3 linked regions of the Tribolium castaneum genome follow. The protein of the gene in region 3 purifies or fractionates together with the protein of the main gene of each other region. This does not show direct contact. Links are inferred from orthologs where the notes say so. Each region holds a gene or a part of one and is shown on either strand. Other genes may lie near its edges.

Region 1 (3,278 bases), on a different chromosome or scaffold from region 3:
GGGACAGGGATAGGGCTGTGTGTCCGGAGTGGTTTTGCGCCTCCAAGTCGAATTTATCAAGCAAGTAGTCAAAAATTGCGTTCCTGAAACCAGGACTTGGTAGGGATTTACTGAACGTTAGGGGGGATCATACTTTTCGTAAATTATGGATAAGTGCAGAGGGTTGTTGCCGTTTTCGTCCTGAAGGGTGGTTTGGTCAAAAGGGTGCGGTAAAAGCTGCTTGAGGGTGGCAAGGTCATTGTTAGATATTGCTGATTCAACCTGGAGCAAAGGCTAAATTTGAGGTTATGTCAAAATAAATTATTACTTCAGATAAGAGATTTCGGCGGTTTTCATCACAATTATGTGAGACAGACATCACTTAAACGATTTACGAGTCATCTTCATCAATTTTCCATCAATTTCATTTGTAACAATTATTTGAAGAAAGCTAGGTTATGTGATAGGCAATACGTGGTAATACCAATATGACAAAATAATAATTTTATCATTTATCAATCTTTGATTATCAATACCTTAATTCCGGTTTTATTCCTTTTCACGCATTACAATACCTTAAAAAATTAAAATCGAAAAAATCATCTGGAACTGCTCGAACTGGAGCGGCTGTGCTTCCTGCGCCTGGGCGGGGGGCTCCTGGAATGGGGGCGCCTCCTCGGCGGGCTCCTCCTCATCGGTCGCATGGGGCTCCGCCTCCGGAATCTGGGCGGGGTGCGTCTGTGGGGCGGAGGCCTCCTCATATGCATCGGCATGGGGCTGCGCCTCATGGGGGGCGGTCTCGGCTTGGGTACAAGCACCGGAGCCGCCGTGATCTCCTGTCCATCAATTTGCCCCCCATCCATGTGTTTCATCGCGTTTTCGGCATCGTCCGCATTGGTGAACTCCACGTAGCAGAAGCCCCGCCCCAAGTGTGGGTGGATGTGGTCTTTGGGGAAATCCACATGTTTGATTGGTCCATACGTCCCGAAAATCTCCATAATGTGCTCCCTGTTGATGGTGCGTGTTAAACGCCCAATGTGGATTTTCGTGGGGCGTGGCGTGGGGGACCTGCGACGCCTTTTGCGCCGGTCTGAGCGCGAGCGCGAACGAGACTTGCCACGGGTGTGGTTTTTGTCGTCTTTCGCTGGGGATTTGCGATTGTTGACGTCTTTGTCTTTGACCTCGTCTTTATCGTCCTTTTTGACATCTTTTTCCTTCTCCTTTTCCTTGTCTTTGTCTTTGCGCTCTTTGCTGCGTCGGGTGGGTTTGCTGGTGGAGCGCGAACGGCGTTTGGGGCGACTGCGGTCTTTATCGCTGCTTGAGCTTGAGGACTCCGAGGAGGAACTGCTCGAGCGGGAACTGCTGCCCGAACTGGAACTGCTCGAAGAGCGCGAGCTGGACGAGCTACTGTCGGAAGAACTAAATCAAGTGTTTTAGGTGATTACAAACTCTTCAAACTCGGGTGTTACCTTCTGCTGCTATCGCTGCTGCTTGAACCAGACTCACTCTTCCGTTTACGGTCCCTACCACGTTCTTTCTTCTTATCCTTGTCGTCCTTTTCCGTATCAGAACCTATTTTTGCCCTAAGAACAATAAAAACCAACTCAAAAAATTTGTAAAAAGTAATGGTGTCCGGGAGTGAACAAACAAGTCAGTTGTTGTAATACAAATTATCTTGATCTTGAAGAACCTTGAAGGAAGCAAATCGAGCAAACACAAGTGATGCATGGGAGTTAAAATGTGCTAAAACTACAAGGAAATCGTGGAAAGCCCTCCCGGACTACAAACATAACCTCAAAACGTAAATACTCACATTTCTGACTATTCTTGATTCCTGTAAAGTCGGGACAAGTTTAGAACTAAAACCTTTCACTGTATTAACGCGGAAGTATGAAAACTACATGAAAAACTGTGTAATTGTGGAAAATTAGCAAAACGACGCTACTACGACCACTTGATGTTGGTAGCGCTGTTCTGGTGACTTTAAGTTTGTAACTGCTACACCAACGGTGGGAGATTGAATTTTGCACCCCCGCAGCTACAAGTAAAACACCGTGGTCAATAATAAGTGATATAATTTTTGTTTTATTTTATAAATACAACTTTCAACATAAAAACGTTAAAAAATGATACAATCTGACAAATTTAAAACAGAGTCGGTCGAATGAATAAAATGCGAACAATGGATAAAAAAGCGCACCTTGATAACACCTTGAATGGGGGAAAGTAATAAAATATTGCATTGTTGCCAAAACTAATAGAAAAAATTCTGCAACTGCACCGCAGTGATCAACACAATTTAGTAATGATTGAAGTCACAATTCGAAACAACCACATTAGGCTAGTATATTTCTATGTACAATTGAATATACTGTTCGTCAGTTTATATGCGTAATAGTTGGGTTAATCTCAGCTCACTATTCTGGGTCGGAGGCCATCGCGACGTCACCGTTCGTGCTGATGACGAGGGCGTCGTCCTCGTTATAGTCGATACTGAGGACGGACGACCTTCGCACGCGTTTCACACAAGTAGTCCTCTCCGCCTCGGAGTCCGAGTCCGTCCGTTCCTGTTCACACACACTGTCACCGTTCGACCGCCCATTGGCCAGCTTGAGCGTACTGTTCTCCTTCTGCAGCACTTGGGCGCTCTCTTTCGTCTTGCGCAGCTCCGTCTGGAGGAACAGGATCGTGCTCTGCATGCCCTCGACGTCCTCGTCCAGGTCGGCCAGGAACGCGTCCAGCTCGTTCTGGCTCTGTCTGACCTCCTCGGAGAAGCTCTTCTGCAGCGCCAGGTCGCTCTCGAGCTTCGCGATGCGGCCCGAGCTCGTGATTTTGCCGAGTTCCTCGTTCTCCTGGTACAGGAGGCGGCATTTCGCCATCAGGCGTTTGCCCGTGTTCGAGTCGGGGGTGAATTTCCACGCCGTTAGCTCGTTCTTGGTGTCCTCAAGCTCGGAACGGGTCGATTGGAGCTCGGTTTTTAGCTGCTGAAGGATGCAGTTCACGGCAGGATCGAGCAGGGTTGAACGGAGGGCCGAGGGGGCTTGGGCACTTTTCAGCTCGTTCAATTGGCACTGCAGCAAAAATACTCTTTAATATTGACACAAAAAATATCGCAAGGGCGCCCATTTTTCGGAGTGGGTTTACACAGCGGTCTTACAATAACAAGGTGTCTACGTCCCCGACATTTCGTTAATAAAATATACAAGTAATGTTAACCATTTTATTCAACATAACGTTTCTGGTGATTTTATTAAAACTAGTACAAACGCACAATTTTATGAAAAATTGAAAAATGATTC
Region 2 (4,300 bases), on a different chromosome or scaffold from region 3:
GTGCCGCTTCCAACTTCTCTTCCATCCTTTCAACATACTCTTCAGTTGGTTTCTCGTTATCAGATTGCTTCTTCTTCGAATCCTCATCTTCAGACTCACTTTCGCTGCTTTCAGCCCGTGCTAGTTTCTCTCTAGCTTCAGCTAGTTCACCCCCTAGCTTAATCACGTGTCTGTTCATTTTTTTAATAGTCAGATGTAAAATTTCCCACAAGTACATTTTGGTGAATTCGGCCGTCATCTCTTTGGAAAAAATCCAATTAGCGACCGCTGAACACTCGACAATTTGAATTTTCAACATTTTGTCAACTAAAACGACCATCATTTGTTGGTGGTGGTGCCACAATTCGAACATGTTTCGTAAAACGCAAATTTGAGCTTCCTCCGACTCTGCTAAAATCTATCAAAAAAAAAGTGATTTAAGACACAAATGTTCAAGCCTGAGTACCTTAAAAACGTAAAGAAACTTGGAAATCGCTGCAAAACTGTGCGAGAAGCTCTTCGACCCTAAGTTGAGTAGAGTTTGCACAAAAACGTCGATTTTGAGAGGATTAAATCTGCTATCAGTCTCTTCTTCTGAACGGGGGTTTGGGAGGTCCTTAAGCACCCCTAGGACCTCCTCGGGGGTGCACTTCTGACGTATTGACACCACCAATTGATGGGCAGCCGTAGTACCCGGAAGTGACGCTAAAACACGATTTGTTATGCATGACAAAAAATTTCATAATTTTGGTTTCGCCACGACGGAAGCTGGATTTTTTCACAACTCCTCATAATCCTCCGTTCCACTTTAAATAAATGAATTATTCAAAAAAACAATCCGTTTAATACAACAAAATTGTTTTCCGCAAACCGAAACGGAAAAGAAAAATTAATAATAGCGGAAGACCACCGACCAGAAAATCCAATATTGTTGCAAGTAATCATAACGGAAACGTTCGTTTTTTCTCGAACGCATATAATCGTATCCCTTTCTTACGCAAGCTGCAATGTATAGCTATTTTCTCGTGTTAATTGGTCAAATTCACGCACGTTTTACTTTCGGACTTTTTCCTTTAAATTACAAGAATCACTTCATACCGTGACCATTATGTCAAATTTGCTCATTGTGATGATTGTTTCAAACAATTGTAATCTTCATCGTGTAACATGCACTTTCGTTATTGTTTTTCGTTTCGAAATCTCCAAGCGTAAAGATGCGACTTTGCGATATCGCCGCTGACTTAAAATCGGTTCTTTTCAGAGCAATTAAGTTCAAGGTGAAACTGAAGATTCGTGAGCAAAATTACGAATTAAAAGAAAAAAATAAGAACGATCGTAAACATCTCTGGTTTCATAACGCGGAGATTAAATCAAAGGTAATGAATTTGTGCAATAAAAATGAAAATATTCTACCTCAAGTACTGAATTTTACGCAAATAGGGTCTTAGGTAACACCACAAGGTTTCAATTAGCCACGCTTTTCGGTGAAAATAAAATTTCTCTATTTTCCTTCGAGTAACATAAAGAAAAAAAATGTTTTTGCAGAAATTAAATCAACAAAAATCCACCATCAAAGAAGAAGGTAAAAAATAAATTAAATTAAAAGTGCGAGTCCATTATTTATCGTAATGAAAATGCAATTATCAAGATGTTGCGACAATACAAATTCATCATAGAATTGCCAATAAAACCTTGCTAATAAATTTTTAATTAAAAAATCTCACTTCGGACAATACTTTTTCCGAAGGTTTAATTTTAACAAACCCATCACTCTTAATAAAAATTTCAAAACTTCATTGTTAATGAGAGTCATTTTAGTTAATTACTGTCGTGCCAAATTAACTTGTCCGAAAATAATAATTCGGGTTTTTTCTTAAAACCCCGAGATAATTATCTTGGCATGTGTCTAAATTAAGTAATATAATATGCACATTGCACACACAAGAAAAAAATAATTAATATTCATCAGTGCGCAGAAAAGTAGACAATGTATTAGCAATTATGTCGAAAGCTTCTAGGATCATCGGTGGGGTACTCTTCAATCTCTCTAAGTAAAAAGATTTAGTTGTAAGAAACCGAGCGAACTAGTGACATGTGCAGCTTTCAAACATTTGCAAACACCCAGTGGGTCTAAAATGGGACACTTCGAAATAATCTTCATTTTACTCTTGGTAATTTTACCACGACTAACAATCCCATTCAAGTCCAAGGTTATTAAAAAATGAAAACTCTCATTTTCAGACTCTCCAACTATGGGAAACTGTATCAATCACTCGACCCGTGCGAAACTTTCATCCTCCCACCGACTGGGAATTGGGGCTGCGTGAGTCCGTGCATCAGGCCCTCCTCCGGGAACACTACACCGACCCGGGGCTCCGCGACCGCCTCCTGGCAGCCCCTTTTATCAACCGACAGGACGACGCAAGTCCTTTCGGAGACATCGCCGTTCTGGCACGAGGACAACTCTACATAACCCCTGAAGGTTTCAAATTTGTTCAAGACGTGGACTGTGATTGTCAAAGATGCCTCACGTCGCCCCAATGCCAGTGGAAAACCTTCGGTCACCATAAACTACTCGCACTGTGGACGGTGAAGCGGATAAGACATCGGGACCCCCATTATGGGCACGTGTACGAAATCGAGTACACGATTTCGCCCATCACGCACACCATCAGCGAGGATTTGGTCAAAAGACATGGGTTTTTTAACTATAACGTCCCGGGACACATTTTCGTGATTAAGAGCGATCCGGGTGTGAACACAGTTGGACAAAAAGAGTGGTTCAAGAAAGAGGAAGATCATGGACACTACAAACCCGGAATTTTAATACAAATGACCCCGGATGGGTACAAACACGTGTTGCACAGTTTTCCCGGATTTTTCACTTCATACCACGACCAAACAACAATCGATCCAAAAGAATACGAACTGTACAAAAAATTGATCGAGTCATTGGCGGCGAAAACATCAAGTGGGCCTCACCGATTCTCAGTTACGACTCCTACGACTACGACTTTTGTCGTAAGTGAAGGACAATTAATCCCGATTACGACTTTACCGACCCAAAGTTATACAAAGTCGCCGAAACCCATCACAACCATTCATTATTACACTCCGGTTGAGACAACAACGGAAAAACAAGACGAGAGTTTTGATATTTTTTCGGAGGCGTTACGCACAACTACTACGAAAAAAATTACGACAAGTGAAGAACGAGTTAATTTGTTCCCGGTTAGTCCAACCGAACCGATGAAACCGGTTACGGAAGTTCCGAAACACACACGACCGGATTCAATCAGTGAACAACTTCCAGCCCCTGATCGAAACGTTGAAACTACAATTCCGTACGTTACCACGACTCAACCTTCGGTTAGGAAAGAAGAAAGTACCACAATTGAAAAAGTACCGTATACAGAGCAGAAAACTACAATTATTGGGCCCTTTACGACCGAGAGGGTTAAAAGTACTACGTTTTATACCACTGTACCGAAAAGTAGTACGGTGATTGAGGCGGTACCCGTTAGGACTTTACACACTTCAACCAGTCCCAAAACCACTTCGACTAGCCCCAAAACAACTACTATAATAGAAGCAGTTCCCGTCAGAACTCTGCACACGTCAACCACTTTTCTACCATCGTCTAGCCCCAAGACTAGTAGTTATGAAACCACAGTAATAGAAGCAGTACCCGTTCGAACTTTACGACCTACAACTGGTCATGATACCACTTTTTCCACATCATCCAGCCCCAAAACCACCAGTTATGGAACCACTGTGATAGAAGCAGTGCCAGTCAGAACTTTGCACACTTCAACCAATCAAGGCACTACTTTTCTACCACCGTCTAGCCCCAAAACTAGTTACAGAACGACTCTAGTAGAAGAAGTACCAGTTAGAACGCTACACACTTCAAGTAGTCCTAAAACTACTACCACAATCCAAACAATACCCACTACAACTCCATATGGTTCAACTACTATAGTAGAAGCTGTACCAGTCACAACCCTGCAAGGTTCTACTATCATAGAGGCGGTACCTATCACAACTCCATACCTGTCAACTAGTTATGGTACGACTGTAGTAGAGGCGGTACCCACTACAACTCACCCGAAAAATACGTACGAGACAATAGCAAAAACACCCAGTTATGAAACCACTATACCAGAGATAGTACCTACGACCACTCGGAGTCGAACGAGTTATGGTACCACTTTAGGAGAACCCGAATCTGTGACAACCCACCCTAAACCCACCACAGTCACGGAATTTTATTTCGAATCAAAGCCAAAAACAACAGTAACGCAACAAAAATTCACAATCC
Region 3 (3,517 bases):
AGGGGGGTATTTTAAATTGTTTTGTAGGGGTGAAAACCCGATTTTGTATCATGTCATTCCCGAAAAACGCAATGAGAGAATAGGTGGTTCCATGATGGGGAGCAGCCACGTTTACGACATGTCTGCTGTGGGCGCAGCCCCTGCAACTAGTCGCAAACCAGGGGACAAGGAAGGAATGGTTGAGTTGGCTCTTGATCCGTCTGAGTTGGATATGGATAGCGATGCAATGGCGGTTCGTTACGAACAACAAATGAGGGAAAACCAGTCACAGCTGCAGAAGGAAGATCTCAGTGATATGTTAGCTGAGCACGTCGCCAAACAAAAGGTAACATATTGTGTAATTTGTTGATTTACCTAATTGTTTCGTTTTAGAATAAACGCAAGCGCCAACAACAGGACACAAAACAAACGAAAAAATACAAAGAATTCAAGTTTTAGTGCATTTTCTGGTATGAATATTTGTCATTCTGATTTTAATTTGGCGAGAGAAATATTAGGAGTAGGAAAAATCATAGTCGTTTATTACTTCCCATATTAATTAATTAATTATTACACAAACTTCTTACATAATATAAGGACATAAAAAATGTTATTCGTTTAAATTAAATCAGCGACATTCATCGGCATTTCGTCAATCTGTGTGGAATAATACTGCTCAATATCCCGCAAAATCCTGATATCGTCCGACTTGACGAAATTAATCGCAACACCCTTTCTACCAAACCTGCCAGATCGCCCAATACGGTGAATGTACAACTCACGGTTGTTCGGCAAATCGTAATTAATGACCAAACTGACTTGCTGGACGTCGATACCTCTCGCCCACACATCGGTCGTGATAAGTACACGACTCTGTCCCGACCTGAACTCCTTCATAATATTATCTCTCTCCTTCTGGGGCATATCACCGTGCATGGAACTCACGGTGAAATTGTTTTCGCGCATTTTTTCAGTCAACCAATCGACTTTGCGTTTAGTGTTGCAAAAGATAACAGCTTGCGTGATGGTTAAAGTATCGTACAAGTCACAAAGTGTGTCAAATTTCCACTCCTCACGCTCAACCGCGACGAAAAATTGCTTGATGCCTTCAAGAGTTAATTCATCACGTTTTACCAAAATACGGATCGGGTCCGTCATGAACTTCGACGTGATCTCCAAAATCTCGTGGGGCAAAGTCGCAGAAATCAACACGACTTGAGTGGAGGGCGGCAGGAACCTGTAAACGTCGTAGATTTGCTCCTTGAAGCCTTTGTTTAACATTTCGTCGGCTTCGTCCAAAACCAGCATTTTGACGGACCTGGTCCTAAGGGCGCGCCGTCTGATCATGTCTGAAAATTAAGTTTTTTGGTAGGGGAAATTATTTATAAGATAATTATAAGTACCGTAAACTCTTCCAGGTGTTCCACTAACAACATGTTGCCCATAATCCAGCTTCCTGATATCCTCTCCCAGATTGGTCCCACCAATGCAGGCGTGACACTGCACGTTCATAAAGTCCCCCAAAGCCAGGATAACTTTCTGGATTTGCACGGCCAACTCCCTCGTTGGCGACAAGCAAAGTACTTGGGTTTCCCGCGTTTGCAAGTCAAGCGACTGCAAAATAGCGATCGAGAATGTGGCCGTTTTGCCGGTACCTGACTGGGCTTGAGCGATAACATCTCGGCCCTTTATTATCGGCTTGATAGCCCTCTGTTGGATAGCTGATGGTTTCTCAAAACCTGAAAGCAATGACCTCAATCCGAGCCGCACTGACCCACATTTTCCTATTACCATATGCAAAGACACCGCGAAGGAGCTCCTCCTTCAGGTGCATATTCTTAAATTGCTCGATGACTTCCACATCTTCGCTGGTTTCGAACTCAACGTTCGACAAGTCTTCGAAAGCCGCATTGCGGTTTGAAGGTTTTGCGACAGCCATTGCCTCCGTCAGAAATTAGAACGTGTGTTAAAGTAAAGTTTAGATGATTTAATTGAATGTCCAGTTCACTGAAGCACAACACTTGGGGCACCTGTCTTTCACAAAGGTGTTTGCATTTTTGGGGCCACTTGCACGTCCCCAACTGGTTTGTTTGTAGTATTGAGAGAAATAAAACACTTATTTTTCACCTTTACTAACTTTTAAACACTTTTTCGCCCGTTTAATGTTGTTTGCACGCGAGTCGCTACGTCTTTTAGCGTTTTTTGACATTTGACAAAAATATGGCGTCCACTTAATAGTAGGCAATATACAAGATTGTCTTGTATAATTGGTTGCCTGTGCATACTGTTAAAAAAATACAATTTATAGGTTACTGTAGCAACCCATAGATGGCACACAATTTTTTTCTAGATTACTGTAAACATGTACTTTGACCTACCATACTCAGATGTCGCCGCTTACGTTTTTTGGTTTTAATTTTTTTGTGTAATCTAAAAAATGTAATAAAGATCTAGTAAAAATTTTATAGAATTTGTAATTTACAAAATGCGAAATATCTTCGTTCTCGTACAAGATAGAGGGGTGGTTTTGCCCTTTTGAAAACCCAACCGCCCCGTAGTATTTTTCCTGGGCTATCGAATAGGCTAGGTCCCGTTCCCGTATCTCCATCAGGAACCGAAATAGCATTGCACATTTTTTAATCGGGAATCGAAGTACATGACGTAATAGTGCTCCAAAAGTTACGTGTGCATGCAAAATTTGAAGTTGCTACGACAACAGGAAGTGCCTCAAAATTAACTCGTAAAATATGATTCAAAATAAATCGCATTAAATAAAGTCTGTGAACAAACAAGCTGTAGTTTTTTATTAGAATTTTTATTCAACTTGCTTTGTTTGTCTTTCGGAGTTATAAATATTTTGAACTTAAATTTAAGACACTTCCTGTTATCGTAGCAACTTGAAATTTTGCATGCACACATAACTTTTGGAGCACTATTACGTAATGTACTTCGGTTGTTGATTTAAAGATGTGCAATGCTATCTCGGTTCCTGATGGAGATACGGGAACGGGACCTATTCCATTCGATAGCCCAGGAAAAATACTACGGGGCGGTAGGGTTTTCAAAAGGGCAGAACCACCCCTCTATCTCCTACAGGAACGGAGATATTTAAGATTTTGTGAATTACAAGATTTTCTTCAATTTTTATAAAAATTTTGTAAACAACCTAAAATTTTCTTTCACATTTCAAAATTTTTATAGAAATTTAAGGAAATCTTGTATTTCACAAAATGCGAAATATCTTCGTTCCTGTAGGAGATAGAGGGGTGGTTTTGCCCTTTTGAAAACCCTACCGCCCCGTAGTATTTTTCCTGGGCTATCGAATAGGCTAGGTCCTGTTCCCGTATCTCCATCAGGAACCGAAATAGCATTGCACATTTTTTAATCGAGAATCGAAGTACATGACGTAATAGGGCTCCAAAAGTTACGTGGACATGCAAAATTTCAAGTTGTTACGACAACAGGAAGTCTCCCAAATTTAAGTTCAAAATATTTATAAATCCGGAAGAAAGTTCAATAAAAACTGCTAATAAAAAAC

Evidence for each region.
Region 1: the proteins of eukaryotic initiation factor 4A-III (region 3) and RnpS1 fractionate together in Homo sapiens (co-fractionation; 3 studies listed by BioGRID and IntAct, with this or other methods). This does not show direct contact. The link is inferred for Tribolium castaneum from reciprocal best matches to the Homo sapiens genes EIF4A3 and RNPS1.
Region 2: the proteins of eukaryotic initiation factor 4A-III (region 3) and Cbp80 purify together in Homo sapiens (co-immunoprecipitation; 3 studies listed by BioGRID and IntAct, with this or other methods). This does not show direct contact. The link is inferred for Tribolium castaneum from reciprocal best matches to the Homo sapiens genes EIF4A3 and NCBP1.

What each region holds. Positions count from the first base shown.
Region 1 is NC_087399.1:5,873,613-5,876,890, reverse strand, and holds RnpS1 (RNA-binding protein with serine-rich domain 1), read right to left. Parts: upstream 1,952-3,278; 5' UTR 1,795-1,951; coding exon 1,793-1,794; intron 1,563-1,792; coding exon 1,449-1,562; intron 1,399-1,448; coding exon 579-1,398; 3' UTR 501-578; downstream 1-500. Other genes in the region: ankyrin-3, read right to left, coding at 1-83, 134-261, 308-358; fl(2)d (pre-mRNA-splicing regulator female-lethal(2)D), read right to left, coding at 2,397-3,050. UniProt on the Homo sapiens protein: Part of pre- and post-splicing multiprotein mRNP complexes. Auxiliary component of the splicing-dependent multiprotein exon junction complex (EJC) deposited at splice junction on mRNAs.
Region 2 is NC_087397.1:5,580,077-5,584,376, reverse strand, and holds part of Cbp80 (nuclear cap-binding protein subunit 1), read right to left. Parts: coding exon of another isoform or gene 2,221-4,300; intron 2,151-2,220; coding exon of another isoform or gene 2,115-2,150; exon of another isoform or gene 2,001-2,114; intron 685-2,000; coding exon 446-684; intron 398-445; coding exon 1-397. Other genes in the region: mucin-2-like, read left to right, coding at 2,115-2,150, 2,221-4,300. UniProt on the Homo sapiens protein: Component of the cap-binding complex (CBC), which binds cotranscriptionally to the 5'-cap of pre-mRNAs and is involved in various processes such as pre-mRNA splicing, translation regulation, nonsense-mediated mRNA decay, RNA-mediated gene silencing (RNAi) by microRNAs (miRNAs) and mRNA export.
Region 3 is NC_087396.1:14,194,579-14,198,095, reverse strand, and holds eukaryotic initiation factor 4A-III, read right to left. Parts: upstream 2,207-3,517; 5' UTR 1,919-2,206; coding exon 1,771-1,918; intron 1,719-1,770; coding exon 1,383-1,718; intron 1,329-1,382; coding exon 598-1,328; 3' UTR 501-597; downstream 1-500. Other genes in the region: Sf3b2 (splicing factor 3B subunit 2), read left to right, coding at 28-325, 373-438. UniProt on the Homo sapiens protein: ATP-dependent RNA helicase. Involved in pre-mRNA splicing as component of the spliceosome. Core component of the splicing-dependent multiprotein exon junction complex (EJC) deposited at splice junctions on mRNAs.